3 linked regions of the Arabidopsis thaliana genome follow. The protein of the gene in region 3 purifies or fractionates together with the protein of the main gene of each other region. This does not show direct contact. Each region holds a gene or a part of one and is shown on either strand. Other genes may lie near its edges.

Region 1 (3,888 bases), on a different chromosome or scaffold from region 3:
CAATTTTAGGCAGGTTAATTATCTCAATTTTCATATAATTTTGATGCCAAAAAGAGAAACAAAACATATCTTTCAAAGTTGATTAAAAACAAATCTAACGTTTGCGTAGGATAACACTATTTCAACAGTCCAGATTAAGATGTTTCATGTTGACTTTGTAGCCCATATATCTTGAGCTACTTCAACAGTCATATGTCATTTAACAATCCTGCAAGTTGCATCCCATTATCTTTCTTCCTTCGACTATTGACCATGTCTTCTTGGGATATTTTCAAGCTTTCTTTTTCAAAATGGGAAGACAAAATTAATATAAATAAATTTTTATTTGCCAAAGTCATTGTTTTATTTTCTGATTTAAAATCATTTTTAATTTCATTTTTCATAGTCAAATAACATAGACTAGTCTTCACTTTAAAAAGCGAGACGGAAATAGCTTAAAGTTTAAACACAAAAGTAAAATTTATTACAAATGTTTTTTTCCCCTAAAAACACTTAAAATCTATAGAATATTGTATGCTCATAACATAAATTAGAAATTACGAGAAAATAAACAACTAATAAAAAACAAAACAAAAAAAAAAGTTTTACCAAAAAAAAACAACTAAAAAAATCTTTATTCGTGTACCAAAAAAATGAAGAACAAAACTTTATTCTAACTTCTAAGTTTTTTTTTAAATTAAACCAAAAAAAAAAACGTCTAAGTTTTTGAACAAAAGAAAATGATTTCTTTAACTAATGCAAATCAGATTAATGTAAGAAGATGTAAATTTCAAAACGATCCATAGTAAGAAAAAGTTTATACTTTACACATTGTTACATAAATGATTTTTTTGGTTTAACCGGTTACCGGTATGATGGAGATGGCTTTTAAAAGGAAACAATAAATAATTGGCCAACCGAAGCATTTGACTTTGTGATGTACCGGTTCAAGAATCTGATTCGGTCGTGTCATACAAACTCTCTTTGAAAAGGCCTAATAAAGCCCAATATTAATTATAAGACTTCAAAGTGGGCCAATAGCATTTAATTTAATATCCCAACAAATTGTACAATAGAAAAAAAGTTTCGCCGCCAGCCAAAACTGATATTTTAATCACAGACGTCAAAAAAAAATAAACGGCGGAGATTCAATTCAAGCTCTAGATGGCACGTGATAGTATCTCCCTCTGCACGTGCATCTGTAGATGACGCTACATGATTCGGCGACTGAGCATTCGAAACTAATCATCACACGTTTACACGGCGAACATGCGCCACACGCGTATGAACAATCCGGTAAGCTTGATCCTGTTGGGTACATTTCCATTTCTACCCCTCCGTTTTTGCTTATTTCCTTCTTCACCACATTACAACAAGAAAACAATTAATTGACAATGACTTCTTTTATAAAGAAAAAATTAAAAATTAATTAAAAGAAAAAATCAAATGCAGTTGTTATTATTAAAAAAATATTTTTATATATTAAAATATGGTATTTTTGCACATAAATTAAAATGAGAGAAGTGCACCGTGGGAGACAGGACCTACCTTGTGGTGCGTTTGAGCTTGTTCTATATCGGCGTTTTTCTTTTCTCCGCCATTGACCGTGTTTTCTACATTAAAAAGTATAAAATGTTAATATATGAAAATCATTACCAAGTAAAATATAAACTATAACCAAAAGATATTGATGTGACGGACTTAGTGGCGGCGTGCGAATGGAGTTAACGACCAAAGAACACGCGGCGAAGACTAGGACGAGGCAAAACATATACTTGCGTACAAACTTCGTCATGTTTATAATCTTTTTTTTTAACAAGAAGAAACTTTCTGGTTGAGGCAGAGGTTTTAAAGAGAAGTTTCTAGAAATGATAGGAAGCAAGTACTACGTGTGTTATGTGTTGTGTGTGAAGTATTAAAGGTGGGATAAGTGAGATATGTGTATATATAGTTGAGGAAAAGGTGAGAAAGAATTGGTTATGTGTTTATGATTTATGATAATAAATGATGAAAAGAGGCACACATGTTGAAGGGTCACATGATTCTCGTCGATTTTCTGAGAAAAAATCATTATGATTTATTCTTTTAGTTACCAATGAACATGTTCGCGGGCTATGAATATTTTTGAATATGAGAAACTGTTCACATGTACGTAGCAATAAAGCCTGAGATATGGTTGTGACTTGTGTGCATGTTTTCATGTTCAGTCAGTGGATATATAATATGAAGATCTCATCAATCATATTATAAACCATGGATGAAAATGTTTAACTAGAAGACTATATTTCACTACAAATCATAGTTCAACATAAAACTAAAAAAAAAATTAGTTGAGCATCGATTTATGACCAATACATCATAGTTTATATAAAAAAATATGACCAGTAAATCATATATATATATATTAATATACACAAAGTTCTACCGCTAAAAGACCAAGAAGCCCATCGATCATATTGTACACAAGGATGAACGAATGTATAATTACAAAAGTCGAAGCATTAAATATGTAAGTGTTAGTGGTATCATGAATATAGAGAGAAGTTTTATACGTAAAGATATGGTATATAATATATGGCGTGGGACCAAAAAAGGAGTTACTATAAGGGAATAGTTAATAATTGTAGTCATAAGGTTCACAATGGGAGAGAGAGCAGAGAACTTACAGAAGCAGCCAAAAAGTGTTCAGACATCTTGAAAATAACCTGTCACACAAACGTGAACCTTGCCCTTGGTTTTAATGACCTTTTCCCAAAGCACCAAATAATGAGCTTAGCATATTTTTCAGTTCTTTTTTGTAACGAAGAAATTCCATGTTTTATTGATAGATGATTCCTAGCGTAGGCAGAAATGTTTTCTGGTCACAAAAAGATTCCTAGCGGTTAAACTAGTCCTTTCTTCTTGGTTGATATTTATATAAAATCTGAGCTCCAACAAATATGATGATTAATATGTGTTTTGGTCTAGAAAACATTTTTATGTGTTTCGAAGGTCTAAGAAGAAAGAAATGTTGGTCAAGACTATTTCAGAATTTTTTTCTTATTTTTTGAGTACTTCGTTGATAATTTAAGATATGTCCAACAAAAATGGTAGTCTATAGCAGGCTATCCATATCCATTAACACATTCCAATTTTTAATAATGTCTATTTTGATATTAGATAAATGGAGTTCATGTCCACTAAAACTCATGTCTATTAACGTTCATGTCATTAAAGTTTATGTTCAAATGGGATGTTCAATGGGCATATCAGAACCAAATTTGAACATAATAGTTTTTGGTTCATATTTTAATCAATACATAAGTCAAAAGTCTTATACTTTGAAATATATCTAAAAACAAATTTGAACACAATTCAACAAAGTATCAAATCTAAAAGCAATTAAATGCAAATTTAAACTTCTTATATTTCTCCCTTGCCATCTTTGTCTTCATTAAATAACTCAATATGATCATCTAAGTACAACAAAAAAACATATTTACATTTAAATTCAAATTGATTGAAATATGACAAAAGAAAATATGTCAAATAGCCAATTCCTCGCGCATATCAAAGCTTAAACGTTAGTAGGGAAGGAGACAACTCTGATACTTGTTTAAGACCCGACTTCCTATGCTGAATGAAGACTTTTGAAGCTACAATTTTAGACAACTCCTTGAACCGATTTGCATTATTTCTCCAATATGCAAAATATCCATGCTCTTAAATGCTATCATGTCCAAAACCAGCTCATTCAAATATTTGTCTAATGCTGACTATCCATTAGCCCCAGCCGTTTGAGAAATGAAAGCATAAAACTCTTCCATTGTGAAAGTTAAGAGAACCATCAATACACATAAACCATAAACGATTCAAACCACTACATCAAAACATAGAAAGTTTTTAATAGAGGGTTAAAGATGGAAACTT
Region 2 (3,346 bases), 2.2 Mb from region 3:
TTGTAGCAAATAGAGAGAGACACAGAGAGAAAAAGAGATGGCAAACGAAACGGCTAGTAAAGTAGCGGGTTACTTATCTAACCAAGACTCAAGACACCAAAACAGACATGTTTGCATCTAAGATATGCTTATTTGTTGACAGATTAATAATACTCAGGGTAGTGGCACTGGTGGAACTTGGCCGTTGCTTCCGGTGCCAGCTCCAATGGTCGGGGTTGGCGCTTCAAATCCGGGGTTTGGGACAAGCGTATCATCGCCACCAGGGAGTTGGGTGTGAGGTCCGGCCCCTTGTCCACCATTATATGATGGGATTCCCCCACCAGTAAGTGGAGCTCCGGTGACAGGATTGTAAGGGTAGAACGGCTTCTTGCATTTGGGAGGAAGCAAGAACCTTCCAACACCGGGAATGAGAATAGTTGGTTTGGGCTCAATGGTTACAAGAAAGTCAGGGTGTTTGACATCAGTGGTCTTAGGGGACTTGGGAACGTGACGTAGTCCACTCACTTGCTCTACAGATCCAAGCACTAGGCTTAAAACCACGACAATGACTGCGGAGGTGATAAGTGAAGAAGCCATTAATTTTATTTTATTTTGTTGTAGAGGAGAAAGCTCGTGTGTTTGTTTGATCCTGTGGAGGGAATGTGTGTGTATGTATATAGTAAAATACTGAGCTAATTGTGGGAACATTTAACGAAGGTGAGATGATATGGTTGAAAATAAAGGGTGTGTAACAAATGGGTAGTGTGGTTATTATTAGCGAGCCTCCAAAGTTTGGTGGTAACAACGTATACGTACTTTTGTTGTTGCCTTTTAAATATAATTCTGTCTACAACTTTTGTTGTTGCTGTCTTAAATACGGCCTCATGGACCATAATACAGCGAGAGAGCCCAAATAGGTGAGTGGCTTTCATTTTTTGATATCCATATATTTTCTGATTAATTAATCTCGGATCAAACTGTGTTTAAGATTCCTATTAATAATAAGAAAGAAACTAATTAAAGATGCATTGTATACGTACACATGGTCATGTCCCGGAGAAGCAAAAGGAAAACAAAACGGTTGAATGCATAGAATAAGTGTAGAAGAGGCTGATCAAGGGACAGGGTAGGACTTATTGTTGCACATGCATTTATAAGCCATTGGACAAGTCTCAGCCTCTTCGACGGATGCACACACAAAGCTAACCATCACAAGACGGCATGGAGAACACGAGCCACACGCGTGTGAGCAATCTGGCAACCTAGACCCAGCCACCTGCACCGTGTCCGGCCTCCTCCTCTGACGCTTCAATGCCCCGGTCATTCCTACATGATGATGACCTGCACATGCACGCAGACATGAACAAGTTAGAGATCTTGAAGATAGTGAAAGAGCTGGAGTAAGAAAGATGTGCATAGATACATACTTGGATGGGAGGATGTTGGTAAATGCCTAGCCAAGAGAGAGCCAAAGAAGAAAGAGAGGAAAAAGGCAAGGAGAAGAAGAGACTTCATGATATATTATCGCAAGTGGTAAAAGTAAAATTTGGGATGAAATAGTACGGCGAGAAACAAGGTATATATGATCGTTAACAAAGGGTTAGGAAATTGAAGAGACTCACGGTAGAGAAGAGGAGAGAGTCACATGAAAACAAGATCGAACATATGAAATGATATAAATTTTGAGGAGATGATGTAGAGTATGTGAAGCCTAATTAAGAACTTGAACTTCATTCGTGCTGCTTTGGTGAGTGTCATGAGCTTCCTCTGTGAAAAACTGAAAGACATACTTTTGTGTGCAATCACCTTTAATTTACCCTCTATAACCCTTCTTTTCTGTGACCTTCATTAATGCACCCAATTAATGTTCTTACTAAAAAAAAAAAGTTGAGCATTTGATGAGATAGAATGAGGGACATTGTCTTGGGGCTTGTGTTTTAAAATCGATAATATAATAGAGTTAATTACACATGAGGTTATTAATGATTTAAATACTGATTATACTGAAATTGCACAATTGTTTTGAAAATGATAGTATGTTCTATACTTGACATCTCAATATTTTGACACTACTACACTTTAAGCGATTAATGAAAAAATATTAAAGTTTCAATCAACTTTGCACACAAAAAAAAGTTTCAATCAACATTTGAAGAGTGTCGAACATGCACCTCACCAATCACATTACACTATAACTTTTCTACACCTTTCTTTGGGATGCTAAATTTCAATGAAAATTTTCTTATTAAGTTTCTATTTGCTAAAGGGGGCAGAAACATCAAAGGTCAAATGATTTAGTTACCAAAGTCAACGGCTTAACATCATAAAATCATCTTCTAGGAATCAATGTCCCTTTGAGTAGCCTTCATAGTATAATCTTCAAAACTTTGGCAAGTTAATATATAAATATGAAGCACTCATAATATAACTGGTATAAGATAATGGTTTGGGATTTGACATTCGTTGCATTCTTAATCAATCTAATCGTTTTCTCAAACTGCTGCCAATAAATTTAAAAGAAGAGAAAAACTTATTAAGTAGAATGATGGACCACGTTAAAATATCTTAATAAGAATACTACATAAAATACTAATGGATAGTGTATAAGTTTAATTGGAATAGCAAGTTTTATGATTGGAGAGATAGAGCATAGAGAGATAATGAAAGTGGAGAGAGCTGACCCATTCATTCACCGACTTTTTAAGCTTTAAGCTGTTGACTTTTTCTTCTAACACGAACCTTTTCCCTTGTCTTTGTTTTCTTTTTGTTTTGTTTTGTTTTGGAGTTTGTTTATCTTTATCTGCCGAAAGTTTAAGACTTCAGCCTCCCACCTTGGCACCTCCTTGCGTCCACGTCATCTTAATATGTACCAAGGTTTCTAAGTTCTTCATGTCAATAGACATTATAACATATTTGGAATCCATATTATGCAAGGAGACATCGGTTTTACTAATGCGAATTGAGGGGCTTGTATAAAATCGGTCTGCTTCAGAAAACATTCCATTTTTCAACCCTTGAAAGTCCATTCAGTTTACCATCCAAGAGTTTTTCCTTGTTGTGAATGATAAGAAAATCCATAACATTTATCTAATTTTATCGTATTGGAAAAATAATTTAATATTTCTGAATACATTTATTAAAAATATAGTTAAAAACGATGTATTTTTAGCGTTTTATAATTATTTAGCATTATTTAGATGTTTTCGTTATTTTGTTATTACATCATTTTAATTATTATTCATGTGACTTGAAATTAATTACTTTTTAAGGTCGAATCTTTTTTTACGCCTGCCTTTACACTTCTTATTAGAAGGTTATGTATCGAAACAGCCATCCAAAATTTAAATAAATTCTAAAAGAAGTTATA
Region 3 (7,820 bases):
AAACTACTCACTGTTCTGAGAAATAACTTGTCCAAACCGAAGAAACAGTTGAGCATCAGAAGCACTCATGGAAGAGCAATTGACAGAATGAGGAGTCTTGAGATTTGCATACTCATCGACGTAGCACGAACCAGCCAGCGTCGCTGACGTGTCAGTCGCAGCAGGTGGTTGTTCCGATAGCATAAAACTGCCGAGAACACGAGTCACCTGGTGCATTGTGGGTCGATCATTCGGCTGTCTTTTGGTGCATAGGAGTGCCAGTTGGAAAACTTTCTTCACCACACCGAGATCTTTACACGTCGATGTGATGTCTGGATCTGCCATTTCCATCACTTCATTGTTCCCCGTCTTTGACATTATCTGATGTAAGTGAATCAATGAAAACAAGATTACGGACTTGACCTAAACAGAGCAGCTGAGAGAGATAGGCAAGAAAGAACAAACCAGATGGTGGAGATTGGATTCGTCATCAACGGCTTTCCTTCGGGTTAACAACTCAAGAAGGACTATTCCATAACTGTAGACATCGGATTTCTCAGTGAGCCGTGAAGTGCGAGCATACTCGGGGTCTATGTAACCTATCGTGCCCATCACGTAAGTTGAAGTATGTGACTTTGACACACACAAGCTTTTCGCTATTCCAAAATCTGTCAAACGAGCCTCTAAGTCTTTGTCCAAGAGAATGTTGGACGACTTCACGTCTCTGTGAATGATCCTTGGACTACAGTCATGGTGTAGATAAGCTAAACCTTGTGCTGCACCATATGCTATCTTAAGCCGTGTGTCCCAATCAAGAGTCTTTTTCTTCGTAGGGCCTTTACAAAACACACAAGCAAGTTGTTATGTCACAGAAGATTCAAATAATTTTCTATGTTTGGCGATGAGACTTACCATGAAGAAGATCCCAGAGGCTACCATTTTCCAAATAGTCATAGAACAGAAGACTCCCCAAGTGAGAGAGGGAATAAGCTTGTAGGCTCACAAGATTTCTGTGCTTGATGCTACTTAGCATCTCGAGTTCTGTTTCAAACTGTTTCATTGACTGTGGGTTGTGAGAGTAAAGCCGCTTAATCGCAACCGGTTTACAATTCTTCAAAACACATTTGTATACAGTGCTTGATGCTCCGTGCCCAATGATATACTTCTCACTTAGATTCTCTGTCATTCTCATGATATCCTCGTAAACGTGGAGTGCCATGTTCATATGAAGGATGACGAGCTTCGGTGTCGAATAAGTTACTGATGTCACCAGGAAATTTAAGGATTAACTATTGGATTACATTGTAGGTGAAGAACATTCGTAAAGTGGTTTGGAGAGTAGACCTGGTTTGTCAAGTGATCCATCAAGAAAAGGAGGAGGATTATGCGGTCGGCAAGCTGCTATTAAGACCATGAGAAGGATCACAAGTCCCCCAATAGCTATTCCAAGAATAGCTGCTCTAGAGATTGACACTGCAGACAAAACATGGATAGAAACATGAGCTTTAATTATCTTAGGTTTTGTGAATGGAAGCTTTTAGAAGAATGTAATCACCTCGTACAGTTCGACGAGAATCATGACACGGTGAGTTTAGCCAACTACCGCAAAGACCAGGATTGCCAATGAAGCTTTATCCAAAAACATAAACATAGATATTAGCAAACAAAACAAAATGCACAATACCAAAACCTGCTAAATTACCATACCTGTCTGGTGAAAATCTTGAGAAGTTATTGTTCTTAGGGATATCACCTACGAGGTTGTTATGAGATACATTCCTATAAGAGTTAGTGAAGATTGCAGGGTTATATTCTTAGCAAAAGATGCACAAAGAGGGACAAAAAATGTTTCAGAACCAAAGGTGCCTACTTACAATACAGTGAGACTGAGACAGTTGGCTAATGAACCAACATTACCAGTCAGGTTATTATTTTCCAGTCTCCTGCAAGCAATTTTAAGAAACACAACATTAGATAGATCACCAACCCAATACATGTTCCTGGATCACACTATAGTGACCTCATTATTGTGTATACAGAGTTTTAGTTTCATTCTACAAAAACAATTTCTTAACAGCTTGGAAGGGATAAGAGGAAGATTGCTTACAGCAAAATTATGTTCTGTAATTGGTTAAGCTCTTCTGGAATTGGGCCAGAGATATCATTATTTGAAAGATCTCTGCAACCACAAACACACAAATTCAGAACAGTAATTGAGATAAATGAAAAAAACTCTAACCAAGCAGATAGAAGTTAACTTCTTACATTTCCATGATGCTTCTTAGATTTCCAAAGTCGCCTGGAACTACACCAGTTATATGATTTCTACTCAAGTTCCTATAACAAGAATGCAAGAGTTCACAAACCATTTTCATCTTTTGCTAGAAATAAACAATAAAACTGGAGGTCTTATGGATGCTCACATCTTGAGAAGATGCTCCAAATCACCAAGGGAAGAAGGAATGATTCCATTTATCTTGTTGTTGGAAAGATCCCTTCAAATGTCATTAAATTTAATAAATGTGAGACAAGGCACATATAATGATGTATACTTCACAGAAAACAAGAAACACTTACAATGTATCTAAGTTACCGATACGAGATAGCTCAACCGGGATTGGACCTTTGATATTGTTGCTGGACAGATTACTGGTTGAACCGATAAATCAAAGGCAACCAAAAACTCAGTAGTTAATGACTTGAAATTCGAAAAAACAAACGCTGTGGAACTATATATTATATAAGATTAGAGAAATTCTCAGCGTCGATACTTACAGGTAAGTCATACTTTCTAGCTTTTGAAATGCTCGGGGTATAGTGCCACTAAACTTGTTCCCATGAACATTTCTACATTACATTAATGAGACACAAAATCATATAAAGCACCAATCTTGAACATTCAAGTGAGAAGTTTTCAGAGAAAGAGATACATACAAGCTGTTTAGATTTGTGCAAGAGCTCAGATGATCAGGTATAGGTCCTTCCAGATCATTGTTGGCCACATTCCTATATGTACATAGTTCATATAAGCATAAGAACATCAAAACATGTCAAGCATAGGAAGAACTACTTACAGATCAAACAAGTCAGTAAGCTTCCCAAGCTCTGGTGGTATATGACCCGTGAGATGATTATCATTGAGTTCCCTATGAATATTTTACAAATAGTTGATAAGGAAACACAACTTAGTAGTGACTGTATGCAAAAAGAGAAGTGAAGAGAAGGTTGGTCATACAGGTAATGGAGTTTTGACATGTTTCCAAGCTCAGGTGGAATTGAACCAGTCAGCTTGTTACTGTGCAAATACCTAGAGATAAAGCCAAAAAGATAAATCACTATCATTAACATGGTATGACATTTGACTCCAAACTGAAAACAAACAGGTAAAGAATTACAATTTCTCGGTGAAAGTAAGATTTCCGAGAATCGGAGGAATAGATCCACTCAACAAGTTGCCACTTAGATCTCTGTAAAAGAAAACATATAACCTAAGTTCATGAAAATGTTATAAGTAGCTTCATTGATTAGAAGAAAAGTACTTACAAGACTGCAAGGGCTTGCATGAGACCAATCACTGATGGAATCTTCCCAGAGAGTTGATTGCCTTGCAATGATCTAAGATAAGAAAATGATCTTCTTTAAAAGAAAACAAAGGCTAGCCAAAATTTAAAGCAAAAGATTAGTAGAGGTGAGAACTAACAATGTTGCAACTTGCAGGAAGCCGATGTCAAAAGGGATCTCACCAGTTAGCTGATTGTAGGACAAGTCCCTGAGTTCGTAATAAGCAAACCAGTTAAGTAGATTTTCTTAAGTAACCCAAATTACAGTAATGATGTTTAGAAGTAGAGAAAGAGGCACATACAAAACCTGGAAGGCAGTGCAATTTCCTATCGTCTCAGGTATACTACCAGTCAAACTGTTGTTTCTTACGTCACTGATTCAATATCAAAACAAAGTCAGATATTTGATATTTACAAAAGAACTCATCATACTATTCAGATGTGCAAGAAGACTCACAAATACCAAAGACCAGTCAGTTGACACAAATCTGGAGAAATGTTACCGACTAAGTTGTTTCCTCGCAACCCACTGCTCATCATAGTACAACAATTATCACCGGGTAATGAAGAGACATTGACAGACTTCAAAAAACATTGACACTTACAGATACTGAAGAACTTCATTCCAGTAAATAAGTCTTGGTATCTCACCACTGAGTTTATTCTGTGCCAAGTCCCTGCAATTGAAATTACACATGTATGATCACCTATATAGCTAAAAGTAGTAAGACATGTAAGAATCATGGGGAACATACAGAATTTTCAGGTTTGGAATCTGTGAAAGTGTTGAAGGGATCGGTCCTATCAATTGGTTATTCTTCAGAATCCTGGACAAAGTAAAAATCCATATTCCACATGGTGAGTATATTTTTAGCAATGACATATGAAGACTAGTAGCAGAATAACTAGCTACTTACAGCTGCTCAAGTTGCTTCAACTTCGAAATCGAAAACGGTATGTCACCACTTAATTCATTGAAGGATAAGTCTCTGAATAAAAAACAACATGAACACACTTCATCAAATAAAACCTCTATGAACAAAAGTTTAATGGTAGAATAACACCAATCACTGTTCTTACAAGTTTTGCAAAGAAGAACAGTCACCAATCTCATCAGGGATTTGTCCAGACAAGCGATTACCTCGCAGATCACTACATTAGAAAAAAACAGAAGACAAAAGTCACAACTCAGAGAGTGGAATAGAATTAAAGTAAGATACTTTATTTCATGCTACAGTGAATGTTGAAACAGTTACATTGACAAGAGACTCTTGAGATCTCCAATAGCAGGTGAGATTTCTCCATCAAGATTCAAATCTGACAAATTACTACAAAACATAGAAAACACACACAAAACAAATTACAACTTTTTCCCACAAGAACACCAAAAACCACTGTAATAGTAATCTAAAGGAATGAAGAAACTTACAGAGCAACAACATTGAAGGTGACATTTTCACAAGACACACCTCTCCAGACACAATAATCCGAAGAAGGTGAAGTTGTCCAGTCATAAAGAACATTGTTCACATCTTTGAATGACTTCTTAATCTCCAGCAACGTTGCTCCTTTAATTTTGTTTTAAGGATATTTTATTAACACACACGCACAAAAACAAAAAAAAATATTTGTCAGTTCTTGAGAAGATTAAAAATTCAACTTCCAAGAAAACAAAATAAAACTCAAACCCTAATTTATTCAAAGCTTCTTTTGATTCTATAGAAGACCCACCAAGTAAAAAAAAACCATTACAAAAAGCAAAAATAGAAAATAACAAGTACCCAGATCTCATTTTCACCAAATGAAACTTCAAAAATCATATAAAAATCTCATCTTTAAGTTTTTTTCACTAATATAAAACAAAAAGACGAAAATCTTGAACTTGAAGAAGCATGCATCAGTATAATAACTGACCCTCCTCTGAAGTCACAGTAGCTACTAAGCTCAAGCAGAAGAGAAACCCAAGAAGAACAATATCTCTAAACAGAGCCATTTCTCACACACAGTCTTAAAACGACTGCGTTTTTAGATATACTTTAAAAGCTTTCAAGTCTCCATGAAGAAGAAACAGAGGATAGAGAAGAAGAAGAGAACCGTATTATGTACCGACATTAGATTTTTTTTCTTTCTTTTATTATGATTTCTACAGAAATTTGTTTTTGTTTTTTTACTTTAACCGAGAAAAAATGATTTTTATCGTTCCATCACATCAAATTCTGGCGGAAATTTACAGTGGTTTCATTGAGTGCTCAGACGACAGAAATACAGAGTAAGATAGAGATGGAGAGAGAAAGAGAGAGAGTCTTTAAAGAGAGGAGATTGTACAAATGTAGGGACCTGTTGTGTAAGAGAGAGAGATGAAGGGAAGAAGAATTATTTGGGGAGGATAAAGTTAAAAACCCCATCATCTTTTATCTCTCTGCCAGAGTTCTGAAGCTTTGCAGAAGAGAGAGATAGAGTGAGTGAGAGGGAGTGATTTTGTTTCTCTCTCTTGAAGGGTAAAACGGTCATAAAATGTAGAAGAAGAAGGAGAAGAAGAACATGTTAATGGCAGTGGTGAATAAAGGAGGTCGCTTTCGTTGCCCAATACTTACGAGTCTTTGTCTCTCTGTGGCTTGTTTCACAGATGACCCATATCAATAAATCCATCTTATGGGTACTTTTGTAATTATGTATTTTTATATGATTTTAGTGTAATTTTTTTGTTTGCTTAACATGTTCTTCTTCATCTTCTTACTTCAATTACTAATTTAAATTCAGGAGTTTACAAAAAGTTTGGTTCAGTTTTCTCTTCTTTAATTATTAGTATAGTTGTTGTGTTTTTGTCAACGTTTTTTAGTATAGTGAACGTGTGATTTCTAAGTGTTTTTGTTTATTACTAAATTTAGAAATATGCATGCCAATGATTTTTGGTTTAGCATCAACACAAAACTTAATAAAATATGATTGGTTTTAGGATGTTAACCGGTTTGGTTGGCTCCGGTCGGTTTGTCACAAAATTAATATTTTGAAGCTTTGAGAACGAAGTGGACTAAAACTAAAAGGGTCACAGGCCCAACAAAAGAAGGAAGAACTTAAAAAATAATAATTCCTTTTCATTTTAACTTCTCTTTTTTTTTTTGTTAAATCATTTATTTGTTTCAATAAAAATACACATAATATTATCTTTTCTCAAAAAGTACTATATAGTTAGAAAACTACATATTTATTTTAACCCAAATTATTATTTTTCCATTCCTTACACACTGTACGTTACACTTTTTATTATCATTTGCTGTACAACGTTAATATTTTTAACCATTTCTGCAATTGTTTACCTCTTTTTCATCCGCAAATTTCTAATTAAATTATATGTTGAATGTTCATAGCCATAATAATAATTTGTCCAACGGAGATAAGACGCCTCTGGTGTTATCCCCAATGTCGTCACTCCACGCTACCGTGAGCCTCCCACTGTTCTCCAACTCAAACCACAAAAAGCTAACGTGCGCAGCTACATTATCACCTCCGCCATGGAAACAGAGCCGGCGAGTTATCTCCGTCTCCTTTTTTCTCTCCCGTCTCCTCCTCCTCCCTAACGGTACACGCATCTCTCTTCAAATTCACCAATCCGATTCTCAATTTCACGAACTCGATTTTCAATATCACCAATTCGACTTTTGTTCATTTCAAATTTGGTTATTTATATGTTGATGATGATGATCAGATGCTATGGCTGGTGGCTTAATGGATAAATTGGATAAATACGTCAAGAGGTAACATTAAATCGTCTCCGATGCTTATTCCTTTGAATTCTGAAGTTAGATTTTGAAATGTTTGGTGAATTATCTAAAACTTAAAACCAGTTATTGAATAGGAAGAAACTTGATCCACTTGAAGCATATGTACCACCAGTGATTCTAGCTCAGTTACAAATCCAGGATCTTGGTAAAATTTCTCTGTTTTTTTGTTACACATTTGTTCTTAAAACTCTTGCTATATAAAACTTACACTCATGTTTATTTATGATGTTGGAGAGGGATTTTTGAATGTGGAGAAACCTGAATTTGAGGCGTGTAGACGCCAATTGCGGTCTGGTCCTGCTAGCTCTCTTCGTGTAAACATTCGAGCTGTAAGTTTTTAAAGCTCACTTGATGTCACTCATTTGGTTTCTGTTTGATGATGAAATGTGTAATGCAAACTCTTTCAGGTTGCTCAGTATGCTTCAGATGATGGTTTCTCCAAAACCGCCACTGATGATGTTGATCGATGTTTAAGGTACCGACAATGTTTGAATGAATG

Evidence for each region.
Region 1: the proteins of ER (region 3) and EPF2 purify together in Arabidopsis thaliana (affinity purification with western blotting, with the first as the bait; one study listed by BioGRID). This does not show direct contact.
Region 2: the proteins of ER (region 3) and EPF1 purify together in Arabidopsis thaliana (affinity purification with western blotting, with the first as the bait; one study listed by BioGRID). This does not show direct contact.

The regions. Positions count from the first base shown.
Region 1 is NC_003070.9:12,470,876-12,474,763, reverse strand, and holds EPF2 (Putative membrane lipoprotein), read right to left. Parts: upstream 1,897-3,888; 5' UTR 1,775-1,896; coding exon 1,681-1,774; intron 1,593-1,680; coding exon 1,528-1,592; intron 1,337-1,527; coding exon 1,133-1,336; 3' UTR 790-1,132; downstream 1-789. UniProt on the Arabidopsis thaliana protein: Controls stomatal patterning. Regulates the number of cells that enter, and remain in, the stomatal lineage by inhibiting protodermal cells from adopting the meristemoid mother cell (MMC) fate in a non-cell-autonomous manner.
Region 2 is NC_003071.7:8,982,086-8,985,431, forward strand, and holds EPF1 (epidermal patterning factor 1), read right to left. Parts: upstream 1,730-3,346; 5' UTR 1,495-1,729; coding exon 1,407-1,494; intron 1,321-1,406; coding exon 1,094-1,320; 3' UTR 778-1,093; downstream 1-777. Other genes in the region: AT2G20870 (cell wall protein precursor), read right to left, coding at 154-576. UniProt on the Arabidopsis thaliana protein: Controls stomatal patterning. Regulates asymmetric cell division during guard cell differentiation. Mediates stomatal development inhibition. Not cleaved by the protease CRSP (AC Q9LNU1).
Region 3 is NC_003071.7:11,208,364-11,216,183, forward strand, and holds the start of ER (Leucine-rich receptor-like protein kinase family protein), read right to left. Parts: upstream 6,300-7,820; 5' UTR 5,533-6,299; coding exon 5,454-5,532; intron 5,108-5,453; coding exon 4,969-5,107; intron 4,868-4,968; coding exon 4,796-4,867; intron 4,692-4,795; coding exon 4,620-4,691; intron 4,529-4,619; coding exon 4,457-4,528; intron 4,367-4,456; coding exon 4,295-4,366; intron 4,217-4,294; coding exon 4,145-4,216; intron 4,069-4,144; coding exon 3,997-4,068; intron 3,914-3,996; coding exon 3,842-3,913; intron 3,749-3,841; coding exon 3,680-3,748; intron 3,595-3,679; coding exon 3,523-3,594; intron 3,447-3,522; coding exon 3,375-3,446; intron 3,287-3,374; coding exon 3,215-3,286; intron 3,126-3,214; coding exon 3,054-3,125; intron 2,986-3,053; coding exon 2,914-2,985; intron 2,827-2,913; coding exon 2,755-2,826; intron 2,629-2,754; coding exon 2,557-2,628; intron 2,475-2,556; coding exon 2,403-2,474; intron 2,317-2,402; coding exon 2,245-2,316; intron 2,159-2,244; and 16 more. Other genes in the region: AT2G26340 (uncharacterized protein), read left to right, coding at 6,891-7,119, 7,246-7,294, 7,396-7,466, 7,556-7,650, 7,738-7,796. UniProt on the Arabidopsis thaliana protein: Receptor kinase that, together with ERL1 and ERL2, regulates aerial architecture, including inflorescence (e.g. shoot apical meristem-originating organ shape, elongation of the internode and pedicels, and adaxial-abaxial polarity), and stomatal patterning (e.g. density and clustering), probably by tuning cell division and expansion.